Linked DNA regions of Caenorhabditis elegans. The protein of the gene in region 2 purifies or fractionates together with the protein of the main gene of each other region. This does not show direct contact. Each region holds a gene or a part of one and is shown on either strand. Other genes may lie near its edges.

Region 1 (4,610 bases), 2.0 Mb from region 2:
ACGAAATAATTTAATAGATTGAGAGACGTCCGTACATGTTTTCAAGGCCTGAAATGTGAATAATTATAAATCAAGTACCTGTTTTTTCTTGTTAATGAAAATTTACCTGAATAAGTACATATGGCAATACTGAAAGTGTAAGAAGATGCCCGTCACTCGAAATATCACGAATATCTAATCGAATCCTCTGTGAAGCTTTCAAATTATCGATTGGTTCGCGAACTTGGCACTCGTGTGATGTGAATGGGAAGATAAAATGAGAAAGTGACTTGAATCCACGATTATGAGCATGTTTTTGACTGCATTCAGATGATATTAATGCGATCAAAGGACTCGGAGACACTGATGACATTCAGATTGAGCCACTCTGAAGTCTGAAAATTTATAGACAAAATTCTAGCAAGAAACAAGTTATTCGTAATATCAGTCTGTCAAAGTTTGGAGCAACTGTGAGCACATCGGTATATCGCAGTTATCTCACATGTCAGCCAGAGATATGGTAATGTCTAGGAAACATCTGGAACTCAACAATAACAAAAACTATTTCAGGATAATATTTCAAAAAAACGAGGACAACGTTTATTTTAAATTTATTTACAATAGTGTACATTCATATGTGTTTGTGGACGATTTCAAACATTTTATGGAAAGTTTTTGTGAAACATTCCATATTTAAAATTGGAAACGTTACATCATTCTGACGGGATAAAACAAAGTTTCTGGAAACCTGCAATTCGAGTAGATGGGGATCACAATACTAAACTCAACGTTTTGGGAATCTGATAATAAGGACCAAAGACGGTTTTCAAAAGTTAAGACCAAGATAATTAATATTAAACTCTTTGCTGCTGTCTTGCAAGATCCTCTGAGCTGACCATATTGGGGCATTGCACTGAACACCTTTCGTAGACAATTCGAGACATTTCATGAGTCATCCGGATTATGCGGAAAATGAATGTTGGAACACCTGAAAGAATATTTGTGTGTTCAGTTCTTGATAGATCTTCTACTTAGTATATTGAACTCGAAACTAATCAGTTTTACTAGATTTTGAGAATCTTTACCATCTTGATTCGGAATTATTCCAATTGCTGCAGGAATGTCATATGTTGGTCCACGCACCGCATATGAATACCCTTCTTCGTCTACTTCTCTCCAAATAATTGAACAAATGCTGAAAATTCAACTCATTATCATATTAATACTTTATCGGAGAATCTTCGTACTCAGTCATATTTTTCCAGCAGACGCCAAGCACTTGTCTCACAATTGTATCCAAATCAATTATTGGCGAAGTTATATGCAATCGTTCCAGGGATCTCCTGCCCTCTTTCCATTCCTGAATCATTTTGGCAATGCAATTGGATGTAATGAATTCACTGTGTAAACGAATATTGTGTGCAGATAAAGAATAAAGTTGATGATCTTGAATGTTGCTGACCAGGGACCAAAGGATCACACTGCGGGCGTACTTGAACTTGTCAATGTCAAATACTGCAGTTTCCATTCCTCCGTGGTCATTTGCCAACAATGATATATCTTGTCCTTTGTTTTTTGGAGCTGTCAATGCTTTTGTTACTAAACGATAGTCGTTTGTTCTGATGTTAAAACTTCGGACGGCGATATTTGTTTTTACTTCAGCCATTCCTTCTTCCCAGATGCTTGATAATCCTTCGAAACATGGCTGAAAATTAATTGAATTTTTGTTAGCTGATACTACAGCTGATAAGCCATGGTTTAAACCAATCTATCTCTACCACAACTTACAATTTCGATGACAATACTCTTAATTTTTGAGAATCTCCAAATACGTAAAAACGCTCGCATAGCTTCTGCAGTATGATCGGGGCATTCAGTTTGACGTCTGAACATTTATTAAGACTTTGAATTTTCTCTTTTAATTTGAAGTTTTGAACAAAGAATACTCACAGTGAGGTTCCTCGAAACTCCACCATTCTGCTCACAACTCTTCCAATCTCATTTTTCCATTTCATTATCAGAATAGTTTTCTGAAAATAACTGGGTTGAATAAACAAAGTAATTCAATTAAAACTAACAGCTGTAGAGGGAAGCTCCGTAATTCCGAGTTCGTGAAGCTTATTTGGAAGAGTTGAGCATATCTGAGAGTTTTCCCAGCTGACCAACATCATGTTTTGTTTATCCTGCAAACGGATTTTTTCTTTATCTAACTGATTTGATGGAAATTTGAGCAAAATGATTTCGCAACACTTACTGGGAATGGTAGTCGAGTGAGAATATTTCTGCGTATTTCTCGTGGCAAGTGCTTCCATCCAGCCTCTTCTTCTATAATTTGGCAATTTCAGATTTATCTTCATTATTAAGCATTAACTAACCCTCGAAATCCATTATTTCTTCCAGTGCCATTTTGAGTAGAATGGAACAGCGGAAAGAGAAGAAAATCGGCAGAAAAAACGGGAACCTCACGCCCAGAGGCAAGAGACCCAGAGATGTAAAGAGAGGCCGTTTGAGAAAGAATATCAATGGCGCAGGTCGATCAGAGACATGAAAATAACACAATATAAAATGAGGATGCACAGAAAAGACGTGGAGGATAGAAAATGAAGTTGGAGAGAATGGACGATTTGAAAATCAATTTTTTGAGAGTACTGTGCGAGTATTATGACGTCAATTTCTGGAAAGGGCAGAGTACATTAGTTTTTAGAAAGCATGAACAACATCACGGAGAACATTAACTAAAGTCACCATTAAAAAAACAAAATTGGAAATAGAAATTCCGAATTCGTTTGAACATTTATAATGAACACTCGTTGTACTAATTGGAGGCAGGATTAAACACATTTAGATTGTCACACGGGGCCTAAAGCGTTTTTATATTCTTAAAGTAATCTCTTAATGTATAAAAAAGAGACATTTCCCTTAAATTGGAAAGTTAAGGAGTGTCACAATAGGAAACAACTGGAAAACAATTGAGAAAATCTAAACTTTAGAACTTAATTCCATTTTTTCTATCTCAATTCCGTAACTTTCAAAAAATCATAATACGCTTTACGAGGGAATGTTAAATAATGAAATATTTTAGAATTTCAGTGATTATTATAAACTATTTAATACCAACAATACTATCCATATCAATCAGTTAAACAATCGTTTAAAAATTCAAGACAGTGATGACAAAATGATAGAAAATAGTAAAATAGCATATTGCAAAACAATCTGATACAAATTTGACGAAAAGAATCCAAAAATTGTTTAGGAATTTCCTAACCATGCATTGCGTTTGAAACACCGCGCGAAGTTAGATGTGCAGGTTACCGGGTTACTGTAGTACGGGACCCATTAGCTTCGCAGATGCGCGGCCCAAAACATTCATTTCGATTTTGCAGCTTGAAGTTCACGCGCCGTGAGCTGTTTTTCTCATTTCTAAATTTTTTTGCTGCTGATTTTCGACTTTAGTTTTGGTTACGTTTTTGAGCATGAGCACATAGCTTCTGTTAAATATTCTTTTTAATCTTTACCCAATTTTTGTTTAATGACTTATTAAAAGTTACCCTCTTACAGTCAACCTCACTTGCTTCAACCAAATTTACGACTATGTCGGACACCGCAAACGCCGCTGTCGAAATCGGAGAGGAAGCTCTCGAGCAGAAGCTCGAAGAGCTCTCTGTTCAAGATAAGACAACGCCAAGCAACAGCGAAGAGAAGATGCGTAAAAGAGTATGTTACACATTTAAATTAATTTAGTAATTACTTAATTTAGCGTCTGCCGACTGCTGAGCGCATCCGTCTGTGGGAAGAAGAGCAGAAGTCGAAGACAGCCATTACCACCGGACTTCAAGGAAAAGTGAAATGGTATTCTGTTCTCCGTCGCTATGGCTTCATTTCTCGCAACGATGGCGAAAAGGACATCTTTGTTCACCAGACAGCCATTGCCAAGTCAGCCACTGAAAAGTTCTACCTCCGTACCCTCGGGGACGATGAAGAGGTTCTCTTCGATCTCGTCGAGGGAAAGAATGGCCCAGAAGCTGCTAACGTAACAGGACCCAACGGAGACAATGTCATTGGATCGAGGTGAGGGTTTATATTGACCATGGAAGTTTTTAAATCCTATTTTACAGATACCGCCACAAGCTTCTCTCTCGCTTCCGCAAGAACCGCAAGCCCAGAGCTTCTGTCGATGGAGAGGAATCCCAGTCGACCGATGCCAAGCCACAGGAGATGTCGGCGGATGCTGAGAAGAAAAAGCCAAGAAAGCAACGCAAGAACAGAAATCGCAAGTCGAAGGCCCAACAGAAAGGAGCTGGTGATGCCGCTGATTCATCGGCTGTCACTGAATCTTCCGAATCTGCTTCTGACGTTGCTTCTCCAGACTCCAAATCTTGTTCCAAGATCATCACAGAGGAAGCTGGACTTTCCAAGGTTGACCGTTGCGACTCTGCACTTGGAGAAGCCGGCCTAGGAGCCCAGCCAATCGATGCTCAGATTTAAGATCCATTAATGCTTATTTCTCAAATTTGTACCTTTGTACATATACATAGTACACTTTATCATATTCCCAATTTATGCATGCTATTGTAAGTCCCTATCCCTCTTGTTCTTCAATGCCACATTGCCTCAGCTTGTAATGAGAA
Region 2 (8,062 bases):
TTTTTCAATACCTTCAATAAATAATCAGTAGGAAGTATTGGTTGATGTATATTAAAAAGGTAAAACTAAAACTCCATATGAAGCCAAAAATCAATTTTAAATTTTCGAAACTCTTGAATATCCCTTCTTAAACTTTTTGGCAACCCGGCCACTACATAGCCTACCTCTGAAAATCGATCAATAATAGACTCCAAATGATCGGGATCCTCGGTAAAACTAATAGAAAGTGCTGCACAAATCGATTCGAGCGCTTCTTCCCTCATTTCAAGAGACTATAACTGATAAGGAAAACTAATGCTTTAAAAATGTTAAAAGTTGCTTGATGATGATTTTAGTGTGACGCAAGTTGCTCAAAGCAAAAGTATGATTTTTTTTTAATATTTGGTTGTTTAATTATTTATTATGATCTATATATAATTATATTCTTAACAAATTGGGAAATTTGACTGGTTGGGGATAAAAGATAACCGCATTATTATGTACAAACTCCGTATCAAATGAATCAATGAAATGGCGAGTCGTTTCGAGAAGCCTACCGTAACTTTTGGGGGAAATGGATGGGGAAAGGTAAAATAAAAGAAAGGCTTGAGAACAAAAATGGATGGGATGAAACAAGTAATAGAAAAAAGAAACCTAGTTTCAAATAAATCAAATTTTACAAGTTCTCAGAGTAAATACAAGTCTTAATTTTGAGAGATGCTGCTCGATGAGCACGGATGTCCACGTGAAGACATGGTTTTTCGTTGACGACGGCATTGTTTTTTGACAGGTTGGAAGAGCTCATCACACGAATCTTCGTCGCCAAACTGAGAAATATTGGGATGATCGTATGGTGCAATGACTCCTTCCTGACGTTCATCCCATGTCCAGACTGTTGTCACTCCGTCCCACTGAAAAATTGAATTAATTAGATAAGGGGACAAATTGTAATCAACTTAAAGTAATTAGTCTTTCATGTAAGGCTAAGGTATATATTTTGAAGATTACACAATTCGAAAATACTAATTATGGTTTCTTCCCTGAGCCCCACTACTAAATGTCAGTCCAATTATAAATCAGAATCCTGCTTTTTCAGGCGAAAACAACGAGACCAACGCCCGCCAATGCAAAAATGATGACAAATAAGAAATGGGGAAAACATGCGGTCGTAGTGATCTTTGTGATCCACAACAAAAGCAAAACACAGATCAAAAACTTACCGCACTACTAACAATCTCGTTCTCTGTTGGATGCCAATCACATTCTCTAACCACAGCTGTATGACCTTTCAGGCGGCGGCTCACTGTACCACTCATTATGTCGTATACTGAAAAACATTGAATTTTATACTTAAACTTTAAATTTTTTGATCAATTTGGTTTGCTACAAAAAAATAAATAACAGTTTCAAAAGTGGGGTACTATCAATCGGAAAATTTATTTTAATTAGTCGAAAATATTCTGATTCGCTGAAATGGTACAAAAAAAACGAAAGAGAAACTACTCTAATAATTGCAATTTTCTAATTGTTTCTATTACCAAGACGCGAATTTTCGTCGAGCTTTTCGATAAAAAAACAATTCAATTAAGAAATAATAGAAGCAATTTTTAATTTCGTGAGAAAAAGTATGAAAAGTCAACGAAAGTTTGGAATTACAGTAACCTTTAACGGCGCATATCTGATTGTATTTAACATAAGAAAGGTGATACCGGGCTACTGTATTTTTGGTCCAAAAATCGCAAATTTCACGTCTGGGTAATAATATTTCTGTTTGAATTTGCCACAATGGAGAACACTTCCAATTTAACATTTTCAGCTTGGTTCAAAAATGGGCGGTGGAAATCGCTGATTGGACTGGCATTTCTTTTTGGAGTGAATTCAAAAATGAAGATAGGAAAGAGTTGGAATATCGCGTTTTTTAAAGTCCTTCCACGATTTTTCGTTTTTTGTGACAATTCTGAGTTTTTAAAGTAACCTGTGACTTACCAACAACTTCGCCTCTGGCGCATCCCGTATAAATATACCGCCGTCCAGTGCTTTCCGGTGAGAAATTCGCTCGAACCAATGTATGCAGAACACTATGTCCACGTAGTGTCATAACAGACGTATCTCCGGCAACAGGTTGACATAATCCAGGTGGTGCAGGCTGCCATCGATAGTCCCAGTGTTGACTCTGAACGCACGCACGTGTAGCTTCCTATAAACGGAGACAAAACAATACAAGACTATTGTTGTATCTACATCGAAATAATTTCAACATTTCTTTCAACTCACCACTCCTGACATATTCGAAAACTTTCGAAGATCCCAAACTTTGATTGTTTGATCTTTGCTGTTACTCAACAAATATCTTTCGTCTTGTCGAGAATCCACGTGTGTCACTCCGTCACGATGTCCAGCAAATACTCCAACAGGCTCTACGTCTCCATCTGACCATGCACGTTTGTCCCATACCTTTAAATCAAAAATTAGAAACTTTTTTTTGATACGGATTTGTCATCATTGGAACTTTATACACATTTCTGGGTTTAATGACAAAATGGCATGCAAGCAATGTCATGTTGAGAAACTTTGAATAAATTTTTATATGCAAAATTTCGCGCAAAAGATACGGTACCTGCCTTAAAATGTTCGTTGCTGCGGAATTTTCATCGATTTTTCATCGATTTTCATCGATTTGTCTCATCGATAAAAATTTGTGCATTACTTTGAAAAACACATAAATTGTAACAAATCGAAAGAAAAATTATGAAAAATCGATTAAAATTCCGTAGCAACAAAAGTTTGAAATTACAGTACTCTCTAAAAGCGCACAGCTTCTGAATTTCATTTAAAAGTATCGTGTCGAGACCGAGTACAGTATTTTTGGAGCAAACTTTCTAGTCTTGGTAATTTCAGAATGACTTTTGATTAAAAAAATCACAGATTAGGATTTTCTGAAGATTTCTCGAAACAATTCAAAGAAATATACCTTTACAAGTCCATCATCTCCTGCACTATATATCAAATTTGATCCAAGATCCGCAAAGCACACCGAATTGACATCATCCTCGTGAGCATTCACAATTGTACGAATCCGCCGCCGTTGTTCGACGTCAAATACGTGAATTGAATACTGTGATGTACCACACACGATTTGTTCACTGCTATCCGAAAATTTCACACAAAAGACTGCACAGTGACTGAAAAATCAAATTTATTGTACTAATACAATTATTTTTTGCTGTGAAATGTACTCACTCTCTTCCTGGTTCTCCATTCAAATCAATTGGAAACCATGTGATATTTTGTCTTTCCGTAAAGTCGAGTTTTCCAACAAAAACTGCATCTTTCCATGTTCCATAAGCAATTAAATCTCCATTTAGACTAATCGCTGTATCAAGAATCGACCAACCACATTGATCAACACGAAGTTCATCAGATTTCATATATTTTGATCTGTATTTCGACTTGTCTGGATTTCTTTGGTAGAATCGAATCTTTTCGTCTGAAATATTAAATTGTTTTTTTGGGAATTCGTATCAAAAATATCTCACCCTGACTTGCCACCACGATTTTCGTTCCATTTTGAATATATTGCGTGCAGAATGATTTTGTCGCTACTCGATCGACACGTCGCTTCTGATTTGGTAAATGTGAATTGAGAACACGAGCAACAGTTCGCGGGTTTGAGATCGATGTTCCACGTTTTTGAAGGTCTCGATTGAGGATGAATTCCATATTATTCGATGTTGATGGACGTGGACCACAACGAGAATTAATTTCATTACGAAGTTGGGTGCAACTCTGTAAATCCAGAAAATTGATGATGTATTGCAGAAGATCCGTCATTTTTTGCTTTGAGACTTTGAAAAATGGTTGATTTTTATTTGAAGATTTCTCTACTTGCCGCACGAATCTAGTCCAATATGTGGATTAATACGTAATATCGGTTCTAGAAGAATTCGAGGGCACTCATGTGGATTCTTGTGGATTTGAATATATATGTAATTCTTTTTTTTTTTTTTTTTGAATTTTGTTTGACTATGAAATTTGGTAATTGTGATGACATAGGGATGTTGTGGGTTTTTTTTCAAAAAATTTTCAGATTTTAGTAAAATTCGACTCTTTTTCTACAAAATATAAATTTCAATAAAATATTGAAATCTTTTTTTTTGAAATTGAAACAAACCTCCGGATCTCCAATATGACATCTTCCACTAAATGCAATATGTTGTTCCCTTTCAAACATTTGCTGCTCCTCATGTGGTGTCATCTTCGGACATCCTTCATCGTCCGACGAGAAGTCTGTGTCACTGTCATTGCTGTGATTCTGAAATTAAAAATGAGGTTAGATACTCGAACAATATCATTTAGTGAACAGATCATTTGCTAGTTTTGCATTGTTGTATTTCACACGTGACCAATGAATGTGCGTGTTGAGTGATGAAAGAGAAGACCCGTGTTGCGTCAGTCAGTTTACTTGAATTTCAAATTACGAATCGAATTAGTTTGTAAGAAGGAAATGAAATTTCTAAAAATTCATCAAAATGCTCCTAAACATCGGGAAAATGTGTTAAGGAGGAGGGTGGAGCCACGGGAGGCAACGGGCGGTTACTGTAGGTCGAGGGGGAGCGAATTGTCATCATGGGTCACCAATTGCATAAAACGAAAAGAAGACTTCATGGTTTGTAGTCAGAATTCTTGAATAAATGGTGGGAATTGTATGATTCGTAGTTTAATTGTAGGCTTTTATAGTTGAAGTCCCCCAAAATCTCAAAGTCATCAAAAATTCTGACAAATCTTCTTTTTAAAAATGGAACTTATAGTACAAACCAATTCAAATGATCTTTAATGTTGAGCTTAAAGTTCAGTGAGATGAAGTTTGTCATCATTTTTTTTTTCAGAAAGCTTCAAATGATCATCCCTACAAAATATGCTTAAATTTGCAGAAATCAAATGACTATAGAGCAATTTCAACACGGAACTATGTATATGATTATTTTATCTGTAGCTTCATATATATTTTCTTTTATTATTTCTGATAAAAGCTAGACCGCTAAAATAGAGCAAAATATGGAATTTTTAGCGAAAGTCGAAGTCTTTATCTGTTAATTTATAATTTTTATCAAATTTCGAAATAACAAAACTATACTGCATTCATTATAAAATCATCAACTCAAACAATGAAACTACATACTTTTCAAATAGAATCCACTCTTATCAATTCCTGATAAATCTTGGTCATATCCAAAGATCAAAAGTTCAAAGGAAACGAAGGAAGAAACAAAACAATTTAGACGATCTCGATTAAAAAAAACCAGTTTCTCGTCAATCGATTGACGCCGATTACTACACTCTAGTGAACACAAAGTTCCGCATCATTTTTTTTATTGGTTTACTCAACAAAGCTTACCCTTTTCAGATTTGAAGAGGAATGTCTTTTGTAAGGCATAGACGTTGAATACGAAATGAAGATTCGTTTTTTCAGACAAAAATAATATTAATTTAGAGAAATGTAGCAAAATTTGGGCCTAAAAGGAAGGGAGGCGCGGTAAAAATTGAGAGAATGAGAGTGTAAGAGGGAAATCAGAGAAGACAGGTCGCCCGTCTGCGCCTCTTCGATTGGCGCGATCGGGCTGTCAGGCTCCACCCACTTGCGGAAGAATCAGTTGATTTTTTGTATGTTTTGTGATGACAAATGACGACACAACATACTATGTGTTCGCTACACATTTTTATTTATTGATTTTCAGGATAATTTGCTTTTAATTTGAGTTTATATTTTCAATGAATAGACATTTTATAAATGTTAATTTTGCAAAAGCATTTTAAATTTCGCTTAACTTCATATTATATCCCTATGGATCAAGTAAACCTACCGGTTTCATCCTTTGATGAGCCACGATTTCTGCAGCTGTCCGCACGGAATACGCCGGACTTTGGTTGCTGTGTTGGACTGAAAACATGTGGTTTGTAGTTTTTGTGACTAGCATCTCACTTCCTCTTCTCGCTTACCTCTTGTATATTCGAGAAATCGGTTGGGCTGATGACGTTGAAAAAGATCAAATCGGAGGAACGTCGACGTTATCCAGTTGCCCATTCGAGCATAGGGCGAAGCACTGTAGCGAGAGAACAAGTTTTTTTTCAGATTTTGTCAGCACACACAAAACTACAGACGGTTGAATGTGAATGAGTGAGGGATTGTCATCAAAACACGAGTAAAGAGGGAAATTGATGACAATTAATAAGGGAGACTTGAATGATAGGGTTGATATGGCTGACTACTGGGAAGCACCGACTAAGCAGGAAATCAGAAAGAGGCAGGAGAAAGTGGTAAACAAGAAATTGGTAGAGCAGGAAATTCAAGTCTCTAAATATAATATCTACTGTATATTTTTCTTATTGATACTGCGAAAATTTCCACAAGAATTAGATGCCTTTGCCTCTTAAGTAGGCTCCGCCCACTGAGAAAGTGAAAACAACCATTTTGAAAATTCTTAATTATAAGAGTAATTTTAAACGAACTGCTCAGAAAACTATTCAATAAATTCTTTTTTTGCTTTATGCATCACTAAAACACGTGATCATCTGATAACGTGACTTTTGTGAAGTTGCATAATTAACAAACAATGTTATTAGATAAAAAGATTGGAAATCTCAAACTACTTTCACATGAATAGGCACTGATTCTATATTAAATATCATCATTTAATTGAATAAATGTTCGTTTTGACCCTTACGGGAACCTCAGGGCTTCCCATCCGGCTCGGTGTAGACGCAGAAAGCGAAACAATTCACGCGTCTTTCACTCGTTCTCCGAAAGAATTGAAACGAAAAATCAATATTCGATAAAACACATGATGATATTAGAGAGACACACAAACACTCACAAGAAACTCAAACAATTCCAGCAGGCGAAAAAAAAAGATGAACGCGTAGCCGATCTCTGTGTCTATAGAAAACAAAGTCTCTGCACAGCACGCTGACAAAAATGATGACAATTCACCGCGAGGAGGCTAACTGCGAAAGTGTTATGTGTGGAGAGACAGATGTGGAGAATGAAGATAGTGAATGAAACGAAGAGAGTATAGAGGTACGACGTAGTCATTGAGTGGTGGAGAAGTTGGAAGGAAGATGATGAGAATGACTTCTTCGTTCTATTCCATGGAAGGGATCTTTGAGATCAAGTTAAGAAGGTTCATTAATTGATTTCATCTATTAGCTATAACTTTCTTCTGTATAATTTTCTTTTTTTTCGGAAAATTTATATTTTTAAGGAAAGTTTAGCACAATTTAAAAGTTGTTATCGTACGTTTATAAGATTTTGACATGCGATCTGAAAGGCGCATGCATTTATTCAAATGGGTCTCGGCACGCATTATAATTTATGGTATTCTTTTTTTTTTAATTTTTGCGGCAGCTTCGTTTATTTTCCTGGCATTTTTAATGAAAGTTTCCTCGTTTTTATTTTATCTTTTACATGGAAAAGATCCGAGGAAGCAGGCACAAAACTACAATACATTTTTGTGCACCGAGACTCATCTGAATAAGCCTGTGAGCCTTTTAGAAGACATGTTAAATTAAAAATAGAAAGTTAGAAAAATTGTGTTTCAAATATTTTTTAAGATTTGAGCAGTTCCAAGTATTTTTTTCGAATTTACGAGGAAAAATCATTCTTCACAATTGAGTTTTTAAAGAAACTGACAAATTGTGAGTTCATTAATGAATAATTAAAATTACTATTATCTCTTGTTCAGTTTGAACGGGAACTAGTAATTTTTAAGAATTTGAAAACAATTAAATAAAATTTTACACCAAATAATGGTTTGTAAAATGTTGGGAAATAAAATTTCGGAGTAAAAAGCCTGAGACATATTACATGTAACTGTTTAACACCCGTTGGGAACACATTGTACACATAGATTAACGATATTCGTGACGAGATCCGGAGAAGCGACGTCGTTTTCGATACTGACTTGACGAAGGTGGACTGGCGTCGGCGATCTGAAATTAGAATGAATTCAGAATTTAAAATATGCATCATACGAACTCTATAAGGATTATTGCCATTTATAAAATGACCCGGAGTTGGTCCATTATG

The links.
Region 1: the proteins of wdr-23 (region 2) and xrep-4 purify together in Caenorhabditis elegans (affinity purification with western blotting, with the first as the bait; one study listed by BioGRID). This does not show direct contact.

The regions. Positions count from the first base shown.
Region 1 is NC_003279.8:5,616,029-5,620,638, forward strand, and holds xrep-4 (F-box domain-containing protein), read right to left. Parts: upstream 2,524-4,610; 5' UTR 2,386-2,523; coding exon 2,355-2,385; intron 2,305-2,354; coding exon 2,234-2,304; intron 2,163-2,233; coding exon 2,058-2,162; intron 2,010-2,057; coding exon 1,930-2,009; intron 1,865-1,929; coding exon 1,768-1,864; intron 1,685-1,767; coding exon 1,227-1,684; intron 1,175-1,226; coding exon 1,065-1,174; intron 968-1,064; coding exon 834-967; 3' UTR 570-833; downstream 1-569. Other genes in the region: trpp-8 (Trafficking protein particle complex subunit 8), read right to left, coding at 1-48, 107-352; cey-2 (CSD domain-containing protein), read left to right, coding at 3,574-3,696, 3,740-4,050, 4,098-4,467.
Region 2 is NC_003279.8:7,594,525-7,602,586, reverse strand, and holds wdr-23 (DDB1- and CUL4-associated factor 11 homolog), read right to left. Parts: upstream 6,081-8,062; 5' UTR 6,062-6,080; coding exon 5,977-6,061; intron 5,918-5,976; coding exon 5,841-5,917; intron 5,574-5,840; exon of another isoform or gene 5,414-5,573; coding exon of another isoform or gene 5,375-5,413; intron 4,292-5,374; coding exon 4,151-4,291; intron 3,766-4,150; coding exon 3,516-3,765; intron 3,467-3,515; coding exon 3,220-3,466; intron 3,162-3,219; coding exon 2,951-3,161; intron 2,434-2,950; coding exon 2,254-2,433; intron 2,177-2,253; coding exon 1,966-2,176; intron 1,307-1,965; coding exon 1,200-1,306; intron 891-1,199; coding exon 684-890; 3' UTR 366-683; downstream 1-365. Other genes in the region: C2 domain-containing protein aex-1, read right to left, coding at 165-263; D2030.8 (PC-esterase domain-containing protein 1B), read right to left, coding at 7,885-7,965, 8,012-8,062. UniProt on the Caenorhabditis elegans protein: Involved in regulation of lifespan. Required for dopaminergic CEP neuron degeneration in response to Mn(2+). Inhibits the skn-1-mediated up-regulation of tatn-1.